Linked DNA regions of Arabidopsis thaliana. The protein of the gene in region 1 interacts with the protein of each later gene in a pairwise test. Each region holds a gene or a part of one and is shown in the gene's direction. Other genes may lie near its edges.

Region 1 (9,358 bases):
TTAATACGGCCCAATTTGTAAACGTCGGCGAGAATTCATGCTTTCGTCTTATTTCCCCTCGACGGCGATTCTCACCGCCTGGAAATAAACAAATCGTCGTTGTTCTCGTCTAACGCTTGTGCAATGGCAGATAGTTCGTCGAGGAGGAACCTTAAACGATCCTTCTTAGAAGATGAAGATTCCGATAAACAACCTCCGTAAGTTTACAATCTTTTCCGAAAACCCTAATTTCCAATTTTGTTCTGCTAAGCATGACGATACGTGTTTCTTCTTTTCGTTTCCGGTTGATTGACTCAGTTTTAGGGTAGGAAAAATTGAATTAGTAGCTCTTGTTTCTTCCATCTGATTCTCTCTTCTCCTCAATTTTGTTAGACTTAGACATTGAACCTGAAATTGAATGCCAAACATATGATTGTCTTGAACTTGGAGTATTAATCAGCTTTGAAATTTGTCTCAGTTACAACTTGAGTTTGTGTGCATACGCTATAATGTGGATTCTAATGGAGGATTCTCTCTGGCAGCGAAAAGCGAGTACGGTTTCCAAAGGGGAAGAAGTCGAAACCTGAACAGCTCTTAGAGGAAGAAGCTTTAGCCCGCCGCAAAGCCCGTGATGCTGCTAAGGAGCGTGCAAAGATTCGCAATCAGAATACTACTAAGCTCTTTATCGAAGATGACAGTGATGATATTAATCAGGCTCAGGAGACTTATGAGGTAGGATTTCTACTATCCTCTTTTTGTTTGTTGACTGTTCCTGGAAGCTAATTGTGTATATTGCGAGATCTCAATGATGTTTGTTTGCAAAAAGAGTTATGCTGATGTGATTTATTTCATTGTAGGATGATGGCAATCGCACAGAAGATGGGATCCAGATTGAAGCTTTTAGTCTGGACAGAGAGAAAGAAGAAGGTTACTTTGATGCTGATGGGAACTTTGTAGAATATGTTAGAGAAAAGGAAGTCAAGGTACACATCTTTCATTGTAAAGCTTAGCTCCAAGATATCTTGTGTATTGTCTTTCATTATATGTGTTTTCTTTCAGGATGCATGGCTTGACAGTATTGAAAAAAATCCAATGTATATGGGACGATCTGCTGCAAATGATACTGAGATGGATGATGATAGTGGGAACGAAAAAGCAGGGGATGACCTTTCTCAAGATGAAATCGGAGTTAGAAAGAGGCGCATTGCTAATGTCCTTGAACCAGGAGAAACGGTGAGACTCATTCTGCGTTTTAACAAGTTTTTGTTTCAAACATGAAACATGGATTGTATTAGTTAAAAATGTCACCTTAATATAGCATTGTTGATTATACATACTTCGAACACGTAAAATAAATCGGTTTCATGTTACAGGTCTTGCGAGCTTTAAGGAGGTTGAAAGGGAATTCGAATAATCGCAAGGAGAAGATGACATCTGAGACCAAGCTTATCTTTGATCAGCTTACTGAGGATGCGGACAAGCTTATCGAGAACGGCGACTACAGTAAGTCTCTAATAACTTATGCTACTTCAACAACAAATATGATGTCCTCCATTTGTTAATATATGTGTTCCTCTTTTTATGTATTGAAGATGTTTATCATGAGGAGCAAGAAGTTTTCCAACGTGAAGCAGGTTAGAGATTCTAATACTTTTTCAATATCAGCTGTAGATGTAGCTACGTTTCCTCTGCTTTGTGATATCACCTTTTCACAACATTCGGGAACAATTGGCTTGACTTTTCACATTCTTCTTCTCTATGTTGGTCTTTTAGAAGGATATGAGAGACTAGCTCAAGCGAAAGAAAATGGGACTGCCAATATAGTATCTTGTGATATGTTTGGCGATGATGAGAATGCTCCTGAACCTTCCTCTGATCTACAACCGTCTAGCTCCATCTCGGGCACTCAGCTTAATTCTGATTATGTGTTTGATGAATCTTCAGGGTATGTTTGTATATACTCTCCTCTCGCGCTCTCTTGTTGCATAAGTCAGCTTTTTGTCCGAAGTATTGTGTTGCTAGCAATATTCATTATGAATCTCAATTTTATTTATCTAAAAGTATTCTATAAATGGTTTTGCAGGTACTACTACAGCAGCAGCCTTGGTTACTATTATGACCCGAACACTGGACTTTACTGCTACGCAACAACCGGAAAATGGTAAAATTTACTTGGGATGAGTTTAGAATTTTGAAAACCCATTACTAATCTCTTTATTCATGTGTTCATAATTTCGATTATCAGCTCAATTCTGGTTATGTGTTTGATTACAAAATATGCGTGCAGGTACAGGTACGATGAAGAGACTAAGGAATATAAAGAGGTGGTTTCTGAAGTTGCTACTGAAGAAGTTTAATTTTCGTTTGTCTGTACTTTTGACTAACACAGGGTCTTGAAATATTTCCCTTGTTGTTTTTAGTTTGAAAGTAAGCACATCATACATGAGTTTATATAAATATATTTGGATTTATTGGTTTTCTCATTGATTTATGAGAAATTATAGAGATGAAAGTAAATTTGGACAATCTTATAATTGTATGAACAAAATTAGCTGTGAAGAAAGAAAACGAAATTATGAAACAGAGCCTGAGAGGTTATCGTAATCCTCACACACTCTCACAGTATGAAGCAAGAAAGTCTCAAACCAAACGTTGACCAATAACACAATCTAACCGGTTCAGACTTCCGGTACAGAACATGTCACGTTTGTATCAGACCGGTTCAGCAGCGAACTGGTAAAGCAGAGATTGAGAACATCGGCATGAATCGGCAGTGAAGAAACAAGACTTCTCGTCGAAAAATCTTTATTTGCTCCTGAGAACTTTTGATCGGATGCGAAACTCTAGTTCTACGATTCTTCTCGTTTGATCGACCCTGCGAAACTTTCGGAGGTTACTTTAGCTTTGATTGCAATCTAAGAGTTCTGAAAATGGCGGAGGAAAGCAGTATGGAAGGTTCTGAAAAAGAAGAGATCGATAGCTCAGGTGGTGGTTTTGGAGATATGGCATCCATGGATTCTATCGAGTCTCGATGGGTTATTCAAGACGATGATGATTCCGAGATCGGCGTTGACGATGATAATGATGGATTCGACGGTACTGGACTCGAATCCGATGAGGACGAGATACCTGAGCATCGCCTGATCCGTACTGGTCCACGTGTTGATTCCTTCGACGTGGAAGCGCTTGAAGTTCCTGGTGCTCCGAGAAATGATTACGAGGTGATTGATAGTTTCGTGTATTAGTGCATTTCATATCAACATATATAGTGATGGACTAGCATGATGTGTGTCTTCTTAGGTTCTTAAACAGTACAGTCACTTTTTAGCTGTTTTTGCCAGAGCTCGGATATCAACTAGAAAGGGCCACTGAATAGGGAAGTACCATAAGAGATCAAGTCAAAATTAGTTTAGCAATATGTGGAAATTATGGATTAGGAACAGGAATCAGGAATGCTTTGTGACTAGCTAGTGTGCGATTCTTCCAAGTTGCAGTGATGGAGATGGGCTCATAAATCTATTTTGTTTGGGATGTTGTTTTGATCTGTTTTCCTTAATGATGGTTGTGTCCTGGGATGGAAACCTGCAAGGGATGCACGGTCTGAGAGCAGTGGATATTTGTTTTCTGATTCTAAAGCGTAACTACGGCTACTACTTTTTGCAAGTTCTGCAGATAAATAATGATGGATGATCTTAGATCTAAGATCTATGACTTGTATCTGTGAGCCAGTACTTTTCTCTGCATAGTTAACCAAACTTTTTTTTTTGTGTTTTTACTTTGCTAGGACTTGACCGTTGGGAGGAAAGTGTTGCTTGCATTTCAAACATTAGGGGTTGTCTTTGGAGATGTAGGAACCAGCCCGTTGTATACGTTCAGTGTAATGTTCAGTAAATCACCTGTCCAAGAAAAAGAAGATGTTATTGGAGCACTGTCACTAGTTTTATACACTTTACTTTTGGTCCCCCTTATTAAATATGTTCTTGTTGTTCTATGGGCAAATGATGATGGTGAAGGTACGCTTTAAGCTATTCTGATCTTCTAAATATAATCTTGCTTTGAATCTTTTCTGTACATACAGTGCCAACTGCTTTGATTACTTATGATATTCAGGGGGGACCTTTGCGTTATACTCATTAATCTCTCGTCATGCCAAGATTAGTCTTATCCCAAACCAACTTCGCTCAGACACCCGAATTTCAAGTTTTAGACTGAAGGTGCCTTGCCCTGAGCTTGAGAGATCATTGAAACTAAAAGAAAAACTCGAGAATTCATTAATTCTGAAGAAAATTCTCCTCGTGCTAGTTCTTGCTGGAACTTCCATGGTGATTGCCGATGGGGTTGTAACTCCTGCAATGTCAGGTTCTTATATAACCTCTTCTAAGTATGTTCATAGGCATGATTTTGTTTTATTGCACAGGGGGTTTCTACTACCATATGGACTTATCCGACTTACTTGATTATATTGCAGTAATGTCAGCTGTTGGTGGACTTAAGGTCGGAGTTGATGTAGTTGAGCAAGGTAATGCAGATGATAGTGTAATTAAATTTGAATTTTTTTGGTATTGGCTTTTTATCTTTTTCATTGTATCTTTTGCTATTGTTCAGCTTTCTCTTCTTTCTTCTTTGCAGATCAAGTGGTGATGATTTCAGTTGCATTTCTGGTGATCCTCTTTAGTCTACAAAAATATGGGACGAGTAAGATGGGACTAGTAGTAGGTCCTGCCTTACTTATATGGTTCTGTTCTCTTGCTGGTATTGGAATTTACAACCTGATCAAATACGATAGCAGTGTTTACAGAGCATTCAACCCTGTCCACATCTATTACTTCTTCAAGAGGAATTCTATAAATGCGTGGTATGCACTTGGAGGTTGCATTCTCTGTGCTACAGGTAATTTTTCACTTTTGCTGGATGGCTTAAATTTCATTAGAAATTAATTAGATTACTCTTGTAGCAATGGCTAACTGAACTAAGTAAGCCTTTTTATGCTCAATAATCCGCCTAATATTGTGACACTTTCTTTGTTGATTGTTCATGTTATATAATCTTTATCTTTCAGGCTCAGAGGCATTATTTGCAGACCTTTGCTACTTTTCTGTTAGATCAGTCCAGGTAAATGAAGAGTAGAAAGCCTTTGGCGGCTGATGTTTTATCTTTTTCTTTTTGTATGCTACTTTTTGCCACTAATTTTCTGCAACTTTAATTTATTTCGTAGTGGTTTTCTGCAGCTTACATTTGTGTGTCTTGTCCTGCCGTGCCTCATGTTGGGTTATATGGGACAAGCTGCATACCTGATGGAGAATCATGCGGATGCTAGTCAAGCTTTCTTTTCATCTGTTCCAGGTAAAGTTCAGCTGCTTCCTTCAATCAGTAATATACATGCCTCTTTGGCAAATGAAACCACTTTGATTTCCCTGCAAAGGCTGTTCTTGTGGTGTGGATTAGAAACTTGTATTTCAAATTAGTATTAAGTTATTGATTCATCATTCCGTTCTGTAGGCTCTGCATTCTGGCCAGTCCTTTTCATAGCCAACATTGCAGCTCTGATTGCCAGTCGCACAATGACGACTGCAACATTTTCATGTATTAAACAGTCAACAGCTCTGGGTTGTTTCCCTCGTCTCAAAATTATTCACACTTCTCGAAAATTTATGGGCCAGATTTATATACCTGTCCTAAACTGGTTCCTGCTTGCCGTTTGCCTGGTCGTCGTCTGCTCAATCTCAAGTATCGATGAGATTGGAAATGCATATGGTAATAGTTGTTTTCTATGCTTCCCTGTCTAGCTTCGGTGATCCGATATGCTTCCCCCGTTTTGATTTTCTTTTTCGATTTCCCAGGGATGGCTGAGCTAGGAGTGATGATGACAACTACAATTCTAGTGACGTTAATCATGCTTCTTATATGGCAGATAAACATCGTAATCGTGATTGCCTTTCTGGTAGTTTTTCTCGGAGTGGAATTAGTCTTTTTCTCATCAGTCATAGCGAGTGTTGGGGATGGAAGCTGGATAATATTGGTCTTTGCCGTAATCATGTTTGGTATAATGTATATTTGGAACTATGGAAGTAAGCTCAGGTATGAAACAGAAGTCGAACAAAAGCTGTCAATGGATTTAATGAGAGAACTTGGGTGCAACCTGGGAACGATAAGAGCTCCTGGTATCGGTTTGCTGTACAATGAGTTAGTGAAGGGAGTACCGGCAATATTTGGCCATTTTCTGACTACACTTCCTGCAATCCATTCCATGGTCATTTTCGTCTGCATAAAATATGTCCCGGTTCCAGTTGTACCACAGAATGAGAGGTTCCTCTTCAGACGTGTCTGCACCAAAAGCTATCACTTATTCCGTTGCATTGCCAGGTTGGTCTGTTTTTCCCTTTCAGTGATCAAATTTTCATGGTTCATATATGATTGATTAGACTTAACGTAGAGATTCTTACTCAAGTCTGTAGATCTGATATTTCCTTCTCTCTTTTTGTATTATATAAGAAGTACGTCTTAGAGCCACTGTTTAGCACACAAGAACATATTATCTCCTTCATTCTGTTCCATTTCGTTGCTGAACAAATCGAATATAAACACTCTTTGTGTTATATGTGGTGTAGGTATGGTTATAAAGACGCAAGAAAGGAGACCCACCAAGCATTTGAGCAGCTACTGATCGAGAGCCTCGAGAAATTCATCCGAAGGGAAGCACAAGAACGTTCCTTGGAGAGCGACGGGAACGATGATTCAGACTCAGAGGAAGATTTCCCAGGTTCTAGAGTCGTAATTGGCCCCAACGGAAGCATGTACTCGATGGGGGTTCCCCTTCTCTCTGAGTACAGAGACTTAAACAAACCGATCATGGAAATGAACACTTCATCTGATCACACAAACCACCATCCCTTTGACACATCATCTGACTCCTCTGTATCTGAAGCTGAGCAAAGCCTGGAGAGAGAGTTATCGTTCATACACAAAGCGAAAGAATCAGGGGTGGTGTATCTTCTCGGGCATGGCGATATAAGAGCAAGAAAAGATTCATGGTTCATCAAGAAGTTAGTCATAAACTACTTCTACACATTCCTGAGGAAAAACTGCAGGAGAGGGATCGCAAATTTGAGTGTGCCTCAGTCGCATCTGATGCAGGTCGGTATGACATACATGGTCTGAGTATCTTCTTTCTTCTTTTAAACGTAGTTTCTATTCGTGTCCATAGATCTAAATTTGTATGTTGCGTTGATGTTCTTGCATTGTTGTGAAGAATCCGAGTATTTGACTACTCCAATCTATAGAGCATCTAGTAGAGGAAAAAGCTGCCTATGTTGATTTCAGGAATTTTCATGGTTCCCCGAATCTTACATCTTTACTTCCATAGAATCTCGTTTTTGCGCTATGAATTAGGAATCTGTGATTATGATAACGGAGTCTGAAGCCTAGACTCGAAACCACAAGAAGAGAATGGCTAGTCCCCCACTGCCGTTTCTCATGAAAGTGCTAATGTTTATATATTACAATGATGATGATGATTGATATTCACTTAGCTTCATCAATGATGGATCTGATAGACTTATTAGATCTCCACCAAGATCTGAGAATCTCCACTGCCAGATCCGCCGCCGCGGGAAAGAGAGGGAAAAGACATTTGACATCAATCTTGAATTAGAAAAAAGTTTAAATAATTAAATTCAAGGAAATGGACTTGATTGCCCAAGAAAAAAGACTTGATGGGCCAGACAAATCTGACATGTATACGTGTCGGAGGTTTATTGGTGGTTACGTGGTCCAAATCAGTGTTTAAAAACAAAGCGATTTACTTCGGTTCTCTTCCTCGGTCTCGCTTCAATAAAAAAAGGAAAAAAAAAATCGGTATCGTTTTCACACCTGGATATAGCCCGAAACGAAGGAAACAAGATTATAAGCTTCTCAGTTCATGCATACTCAGATCGGTTAGGGTTCGTTGATTCTCTTTTTGATTACGAAAGCTTAAGATCTCTTTTGGTGGATTTTTGGGTTTATCCATCTATGGTGGATCGCAGATCTTTTGGCTCTATAACTCCTCCTCTCCAATTAGGTCTCTTTCTCTTCCTTCTCCACTGTTTATTTCCCTCCGTTGTTTGGTTCCTTTGCTAGCTTGAAATTACGTTTATTTTGCCATATTTTTGAGTTTTTCTTGCTGCGACATTTGGTAGGCGAATGAATCTATTCATTAGACAGGAACTTAGCTCACTTCTTTTTTTTCTTACTGGTGTTGTTCCACATGTTTGTCCGAATTTATTTTTTGTCTGCTTGATCTGAAATTGCGACGAAATAATGTATTTATGCTCTTGAAATTTCTGCTTTAAGGCTGAATTGCTCTGTTTCATTGGGAATGTTCATATTTTGTTAGTGGTAGCGTAATAGTGTTATCGGAAGATTTTGTACCCAGATTCAAAAAAGTGTTAAGTACTGATACATGTTTTACTTCTATGAGTTTGCAGATATGGAACAGTTGCTGTCAGAAGCCCAACACAGGTGGCTTAGGCCTACTGAGATTTGTGAAATTCTTCAGAACTATCACAAGTTTCATATAGCATCAGAGTCTCCCACCCGACCCGCCAGTATGTTTGTGTCTGAGTTCCTTCGTTTTTTTTGTTGCAATTTATATCTTATAAAGTTATTCGGTGGATGAATGGTCACTTTCTCTTCCATTTTTGAAAACTACTAGGATTAGGATGAATTTTATTTATGCATAGCAGTCAAAAATTTTGCATATATAAAGTTCCACATGTACTGACTTCAAATTATACTTGCACTGCTCTAATTCATCCTATTTTTTGTTTCGAAGAAGAAGTATACTTTTTGTTAGATCGCTTGTTAGTGACAACAATCTTCACTTTTCATATATTTTTTCCCTGTAAACTGACATTATCTCCCCACCCTTATAGGTGGTTCACTTTTTCTTTTTGATAGGAAGGTACTGAGATATTTTAGGAAAGACGGACATAACTGGAGGAAGAAGAAAGATGGTAAAACCATAAGAGAAGCTCATGAGAAGCTCAAGGTTATAATTTTCTTTAGTGTCTCCTAAATAGTTTAGTGTTTTCCAATCATGGAACCTGTTAATTGGTTCTACTTCCGGATTTGTAATAAACTAGTTGATAACGTAGTGTATCTAAATTTTTGAGAGTAACATTATATAGGTAGGAAGCATAGATGTGCTACATTGTTACTATGCACATGGGGAAGCCAACGAGAATTTCCAGAGACGTTGCTACTGGATGCTTGAACAGTGAGTCTGAGTTTGTGCATATTTCAGTGTTTTGTTGTTCTCTGTGTATACTGACCTTCTAGCTTGGACGGAAAAAAATAGTGTTTATGATCATAACTTTGAAGGTACTATTATAGAAAAGCC
Region 2 (6,790 bases), on another chromosome or scaffold:
TGTTTAGATACTTAGAATTTATAATAAAATAAATTAGTTATCACCAAATTTAGATATTTAGATATTTAGAATTTATAATAAAATAAATTATTTTATAGAAACTGAAAAACTAAACTAAAATAGAAATCATTTATTAAACAATATGACCAAAACAATTTCCATCTCTTTACTTGACATTTACACGTAAATTAATAGAAAAGTAAATATAAAAATGATAAGGATTTATAATTAATTATAAAACAGAATATAATTAATTATAAAATAGAAAAATATTCTATTTTATGTAATTAGATGATTACTTTAAAAAACTAAATCATGTTAGAAAAACAAAATTATGTTACCTTATATGATTTAATACATTGTAAAAAAAAAGTAATAATATGTGTTTGATTTAAATTTGAATATCAAGAGTTAGCAAGTTGTCAAAATATAGACAAACTCAACAAATTTATACTGCTTCACTGATTCTCTATTTATATTACATACATACATCAAACATATTAGTGTTAACGAAATGAAAAATGAATTTCAAGTATACAATTTAATCCGTCCGGATCCTACCTAATTTTTGTTAAAAGGAAAGGGGAGATTGGAGAACAAAAGGCTTGAGAATAAATTGCAAACCATATATGATTCGGTTTAGACTCCATGCCTAGTAGGATTATGAGATTGTAATAAGATAATAACGTTGTAGAATTCATATTGGGAAGCCCTATATGATTCGGTTCACTGGTTGCGTTGCAAATATTCTACGAGGTGATTTGGTTTGAGACTTGAGAGAGTTATAGGCAATGAGGAATGAAGCCCAGGCCCTGTGATCTTTTTACTATCTTACTAAGCAAATCTAAGCTAATTGTAAAACAAGAAAACATTTTAGAGAGAGAAATTCATAGATTTGAGATCCCATAAATAGAGATAATTGATGTTCATTTTGGTAATAAACCCCAAAAAGAAAAGTCATAACGTTCCGTCAAAGAAACAAAAGTAAAGGCCTAGTAGTACGGCCCAAATACTTTTGGCGGGAGTTAGAAGAAAAATAAAAAGTCAAGCACGAAATGTGTTTGATGGAATGCCAAAGCGAGAGAGAGACAACAATGGTTCAAGAAGAACCTATGAAACTGAGAATCACCGAAGTTGTTGACATTGAAAGAAGGTGGTGAGCTGTCATTCTTTTTTTCCTTCTTCTTCTTCTCTTTCTCCTATTGACATTGTTGGAGGTCTCATTCTTCTTCATATTCTTCTTTGGCCTTCGATTCTTCTTCTTAGGCTTTGGTGGTTTTTCTTCTACTACATTAGCTTTGGAGTCTAAACACATAGGCATAATAATTTTTGAGTATATAATTTGTTGATATGAATAGTTAAATTTTTGAATTTAAATAATATTTGTATTAACTAATTAATAAAATTATTTTATTATCGTTTTCTGAATTTTTAATTACAATTTTCTTAAGATTTTGGGCATATAATCCAATTATTCCTTCGAACTCACAATTATGATTCATAACACATGTATAAGAGTTAATCAAAATTGTGATGTACAACACATGCACAATTCGAGTCATTAACTTTTGGCGTCAACTTGCTGCTTCTGTAAGTACAAAGCTTAATTGCTATACAAAAATAAATTGAGGAGAACAGATAAATATCAAAGACATCTCGACCGAACCTAATCAATCCAACAAAATTCTACATACTCGATATCCAAATTTAGCAAGATCTATGCGATTCAAGTGTCTTGAGGCATAAAAGCAATCACAGTGAATAATCGAATTTGAAGTCAGGATCAACAAACAAATACTAACAAACTAGATCTAGGCATACCTATATAGAGGCTGGGATCTTCGTTCTTCAATTCATGTTAAAGAATTTAATAGCCATCATCTTCCAAAAAAAGAGTAACTAGGGTAGAAAAAATAATCGAAAACATAATTCAAAATAAAATATAATTATGAATCTAGAATTTCAAGTCTATTTTAAAACCTCTATAAATTAATATTCGATAAATTAATAACCTCTATAAATTAATAAATTCTTCCTGTCCCGAGTTGGGACCAGTGTATAAATGTATACAAATCGATAAATTAATAAGATAATAATTTTTTTGAAAATCCTATGTAAATATATGGTCTCATCAATATTATGTAAAACTTAGTAAAATATGACTTTAGTATTATTTTTCTTCAATTTATATAATTTATATTAATTCTGTGTAAAATTTAATTCTAATTATTTTACTACGTATAAAAAAGTTTTTTTTTTGTTTTAAACATAATAAAGGTTTTCTACTTGTAATTGATTTTTAGAAAAATTATTGAGTGTATAGAGAAACTACCTTTTAGATCAAATTTTTGTAAAAAATTACAAATTTGTAAAATATCTCCATAAATTAATAATTATTAATTTATCGATAAATTAATATCTCTCTAAATTAAAAAAAATTTTGGTCCTGACATTATTAATTTATAGAGGTTTTACTGTAGTTACAAACTGCGCATGGTTTGTCAAATTCTAAAACATGCTTTGTTTATTTTGAAAATAAAATAAAATGATACTAGATGAAACAAATATAATGAAAAGGATATTTACCAATTGATTATTCTTATATTTCCATATTTTTTTATTTTAGCTACTATTTTTGAAAACTTCCATTAACTCTTTCACTAAGAGCTGTGATAGTACACAAAAAAAAAAGCTGTGATTCAAGTTTTTCTACTCATAAAATATGTCTTTGATTTTTTGTAGTAATTATAGGCCGTAGGCCAATCTTTCAATATCATACACGTAGGCACGGGCTAGTGCTGGCCCAAATTGGAGATGGTCTTAGTGGTTAGAAACGAATGTTTAAATTCTTAATTAACTTTTGTAAAACACCAGATAGTTTGTAATATACGACGAGATAGTTGAAACTTATGTCCAAAAAAGAAACAAAAGAAAGAGAGTATGTTCATATAGTAATAGGGAAAAGAAAGAAATATAACCGTTGGTGATTAGTCATTTAGTTGGATGACAAATCTCTCTCACCTTCACATGGACCAACGGCTTCTATGTCCCACCAATTTGTACTCTCAATCTCCTTTACCTTATTTATTCATTACACCAAAGCTACGACACGACATGGCTTTTGTTTTATTTTCATTATATTTATGTTATTTAATGTTACAGTACATACAATATTTAGCTTTTATGTCATGCATTGGTTATTAGTATTTTGTATTACTAGTAAGATTGAAAACGGTTTTAAGAATGTAGGAGTGTGTTTCACAAAATTGAGAGTATTGCAATTACATGAGAGTGTTCAGACTTCAGAGTATTACAAACCTAACAAACCTGGATATTGTGATATGACTGGCTTTTAGGTTTTGTAGGTCTCCCATTTGATTATAAACAAAATGTATTTATTACCTATATTCCAAAAGTACCCTTATGTTCCATGTTCTCTTCTTATAAAGCAACACACAAGATGCAAGAAATCTCCATAACTAGAGAGAGAAACTAATCTTTTTAGTGAGAGAGAAATCTTAGAGCTGAGCTAAGAAAAATGTCAAAAGAAGTGAGTGAAGAAGGAAGACATGGCAAAGACTACGTGGATCCACCTCCAGCTCCACTTCTAGACATGGCTGAGCTTAAGCTCTGGTCTTTTTACAGAGCTATCATCGCAGAGTTCATCGCCACTCTCCTCTTCCTCTATGTAACCGTAGCTACAGTCATTGGCCACAAGAACCAAACCGGTCCTTGTGGCGGTGTTGGTTTACTCGGCATTGCGTGGGCCTTTGGTGGCATGATCTTTGTCCTCGTCTATTGCACCGCCGGTATCTCCGGTAAATATTTCCACAAAAACCACAAAAATTTCCATAAACTTCAGTTTCAAGATCTTAATATGAAGTTGTTTAGCAATGATACATTTATAATTCAAAGATACATTTTTAGCAAGTTTTTGTTTGGTAAAATACCTTTTTAGCAAGTTGGTAAAATATTTCAACAAAACTTTATCCTAAAATTACTAAACCTTAATCTTCAACAACTTAATATGGAGTTGTTAACTTGCAGGAGGTCACATTAACCCAGCTGTGACATTTGGTCTGTTCTTGGCTCGTAAAGTGTCGCTCCCTAGAGCAGTTGCTTACATGGTGGCTCAGTGTCTTGGAGCCATTTGTGGAGTTGGACTCGTTAAGGCCTTTATGATGACTCCATATAAACGTCTCGGAGGCGGAGCTAACACCGTAGCTGATGGTTATAGCACCGGAACTGCTCTTGGTGCTGAGATTATTGGCACATTTGTCTTGGTTTACACTGTCTTCTCCGCCACTGACCCCAAAAGAAGTGCCCGTGACTCTCACGTCCCGGTTAGTAAAACTTTGCAAACCAGTTTTGTATAATTTATAATTATTCTAAAGCTGAATTTTTTACTGTTCTTTCATGGTTTCAAAATGTGATTGTGTAATTTCTAAAAATAGTTATTCTTTTCTAAATTTTTCATAGATTTCATGATGGGTTTTTCTTTACTGTTTTTTCATGATTGAAATTTTTGAACATATTTCTAGGTATTTAGGTTTGTGTAGTTAATAAACTTGAATTTTTCTGAATATTTATCGTAGGGTTTGACATGGATTTTTGTAATTTTTAACAAGTTGAATTCTTTTGAATTTTTTTTCTTATGATTTCACATGGGTTTGTTTAATTTCTGAAAAAGTCTTTTGAATATTTTTATTTTTATAGGTTTTGGCTCCGTTACCTATAGGGTTTGCTGTGTTCATGGTGCATTTGGCTACTATCCCCATAACTGGAACTGGGATTAATCCAGCCAGAAGCTTTGGTGCTGCTGTTATCTACAACAATGAGAAAGCTTGGGACGACCATGTAAATATAGTTCTCTCTCATTAACAATCAATTTACTTATTTTTTTGTTGAATAATTACTAATTAAGTTTTGGGTTAATGGATTTGAATTTTTAGTGGATCTTTTGGGTTGGACCATTCGTGGGAGCATTAGCAGCAGCAGCATACCATCAATATATCTTGAGAGCTGCAGCAATCAAAGCTTTGGCTTCATTCCGCAGCAACCCAACCAATTGATGATTCATGAGACTTCTTAGAACAATTTGAGATCTTTTTTTTTGTGTGCTTAATGAGAGATATTTGTGTGTTTTAATTTGATGTAATCGGATTTATTCATTTTCATAGTTTAATTTGGTTTAATTCATCTTTGTCCGTTGCTTTCTTTCATGTAGGGCATCTTATGATTCACTTTTATACTTTAGTACGAATTAAAACATTTGTTACAAGTTTATATGAACCCACATGCATGTTCGTATAAAACATTCCTTGGTGTTTTTGTCTTATGTTACTTGATTCTTCTTATCCGGTGGTCGGATCATAAACCACTCACATATGACATATTGACACATGTTCCTTAGTTAGAATAATAATAGACTATAATAGCTAAAGCCTTGGGGCATGCAATAAGGATTGGAGTTTAGCAATAAGCATTATCACGTCTCGTCTTTTCAGAATTGTAGAGACAGAGAAGTGTGTGTGGTCCTTCTGATAAAGAGGTCAAAAATTTCGAAAAGGGCTCGAAAGCAGACGGAGATGAAGAGAAAAAGATAAAGGACCACCACACTAAAGGGTCCACACTCTTCACCATAGACCACTTTACACATTAGTCTATCCATCTCGATAATAACCGGAATTCGTACCCAAACCTTAAATTTAAGCAGATTTCTTCAAAACATTTTCTTTTACCAAAGTTGTGTGTCCTCGAGTTTGGCTACATCAGCTGATTCTATTTTTGACAAAGAAACAAAGAGAAAAAGTAAAAAGCTAAAACTTTTTTCTTGTTACCGTTTGTTCTCTCTAGCGAGAGCTGGTACAGAAATTTTGTTTGAATTTCAAAGTGGGCTAAAGAAACGTTCATTCTACAATTTAGTTCTCTCAAGAAGGATAATTTAAGGACAATTAATCAGACAACAGCATAGTTTACTTTCGAACCAGAAATCCATTCCCTTGTTTCCAACATGTGAGCTCAAGTAGCTTAGTCGGGTAATGCAGTTCCTCGTTCCAAGTTGTTTTTGATCTCCAGCGTGTATTTCCCAAACGCACGCTCGATTTTCTTGTTGAAATGCTCGTTTCTGTCGTTGATGGAATCGATATCCTTCTCTTCCCGGAACTTCCTCCTCCTGCTAAACTCTTGTCGCTTTTGCTCTCTGTCTAAGAGCTCTTTTGCCATCTTATCTATCTTATCTTGCGAAGTTTTTGGAGCCTGCAAAAGTTTAACAAAGGATTGAGCTTTTCTATGACTCTTTACTTTAGATTTGAGTCTCTCATTGACCAAAAACGACAAATCACAAACCTTTCCATATTGCAAGCTTGAGGCCTCACGGTAAAACTCTGGATCAGCTGCTCTCATTCTGTTATACTCCTCCAGATCAACCTGAATGTTCTTTGTCCGTTTCTTGTATGCGTTGTATAACGTCTTCTGGTTAAAGACTGAAGATAAATACAACATTTCACACATTAGCCTCTCAATAATTGTGTAATCATCGAAGTGAAACATAACAAATGAGAAGAGACAAGAGTTTCAATTCAGTACGAATTTCACGTACCATCCCAACCCGCAGGCGTAGGTTCCTTTTCCCATTTTTTGTATTTTGATTCAGCTGCTTCTTGAGTATCGAGCATATAAGCCTGTGTCATATCTAAACCATTAGCATCAAGAAGTTTCCCAATCTTTTTCTTCCTCCCCTCCAACCATTTCTGTTTTGAGATTCCTTTTGTCTCTGTTGGTGCTTCCA

The links. Proteins that work in one complex are often made in the same cells at the same time.
Region 2: the proteins of KUP7 (region 1) and PIP2;8 interact in a protein complementation assay, tested with the Arabidopsis thaliana proteins (one large-scale study listed by BioGRID).

Annotation. Positions count from the first base shown.
Region 1 is NC_003076.8:2,913,468-2,922,825, forward strand, and holds KUP7 (K+ uptake permease 7), read left to right. Parts: upstream 1-2,683; 5' UTR 2,684-2,909; coding exon 2,910-3,200; intron 3,201-3,763; coding exon 3,764-3,992; intron 3,993-4,089; coding exon 4,090-4,338; intron 4,339-4,447; coding exon 4,448-4,498; intron 4,499-4,608; coding exon 4,609-4,869; intron 4,870-5,038; coding exon 5,039-5,091; intron 5,092-5,207; coding exon 5,208-5,322; intron 5,323-5,478; coding exon 5,479-5,733; intron 5,734-5,819; coding exon 5,820-6,342; intron 6,343-6,587; coding exon 6,588-7,137; 3' UTR 7,138-7,356; downstream 7,357-9,358. Other genes in the region: AT5G09390 (CD2-binding protein-like protein), read left to right, coding at 124-197, 522-711, 837-962, 1,039-1,212, 1,353-1,482, 1,572-1,613, 1,753-1,924, 2,063-2,140 and 1 more; EICBP.B (ethylene induced calmodulin binding protein), read left to right, coding at 7,426-7,432, 7,820-8,038, 8,445-8,564, 8,892-9,007, 9,147-9,235, 9,340-9,358. UniProt on the Arabidopsis thaliana protein: Probable potassium transporter.
Region 2 is NC_003071.7:7,298,109-7,304,898, forward strand, and holds PIP2;8 (plasma membrane intrinsic protein 2;8), read left to right. Parts: upstream 1-3,225; 5' UTR 3,226-3,538; coding exon 3,539-3,818; intron 3,819-4,047; coding exon 4,048-4,343; intron 4,344-4,716; coding exon 4,717-4,857; intron 4,858-4,952; coding exon 4,953-5,072; 3' UTR 5,073-5,401; downstream 5,402-6,790. Other genes in the region: AT2G16860 (GCIP-interacting family protein), read right to left, coding at 6,031-6,258, 6,349-6,485, 6,602-6,790. UniProt on the Arabidopsis thaliana protein: Aquaporins facilitate the transport of water and small neutral solutes across cell membranes.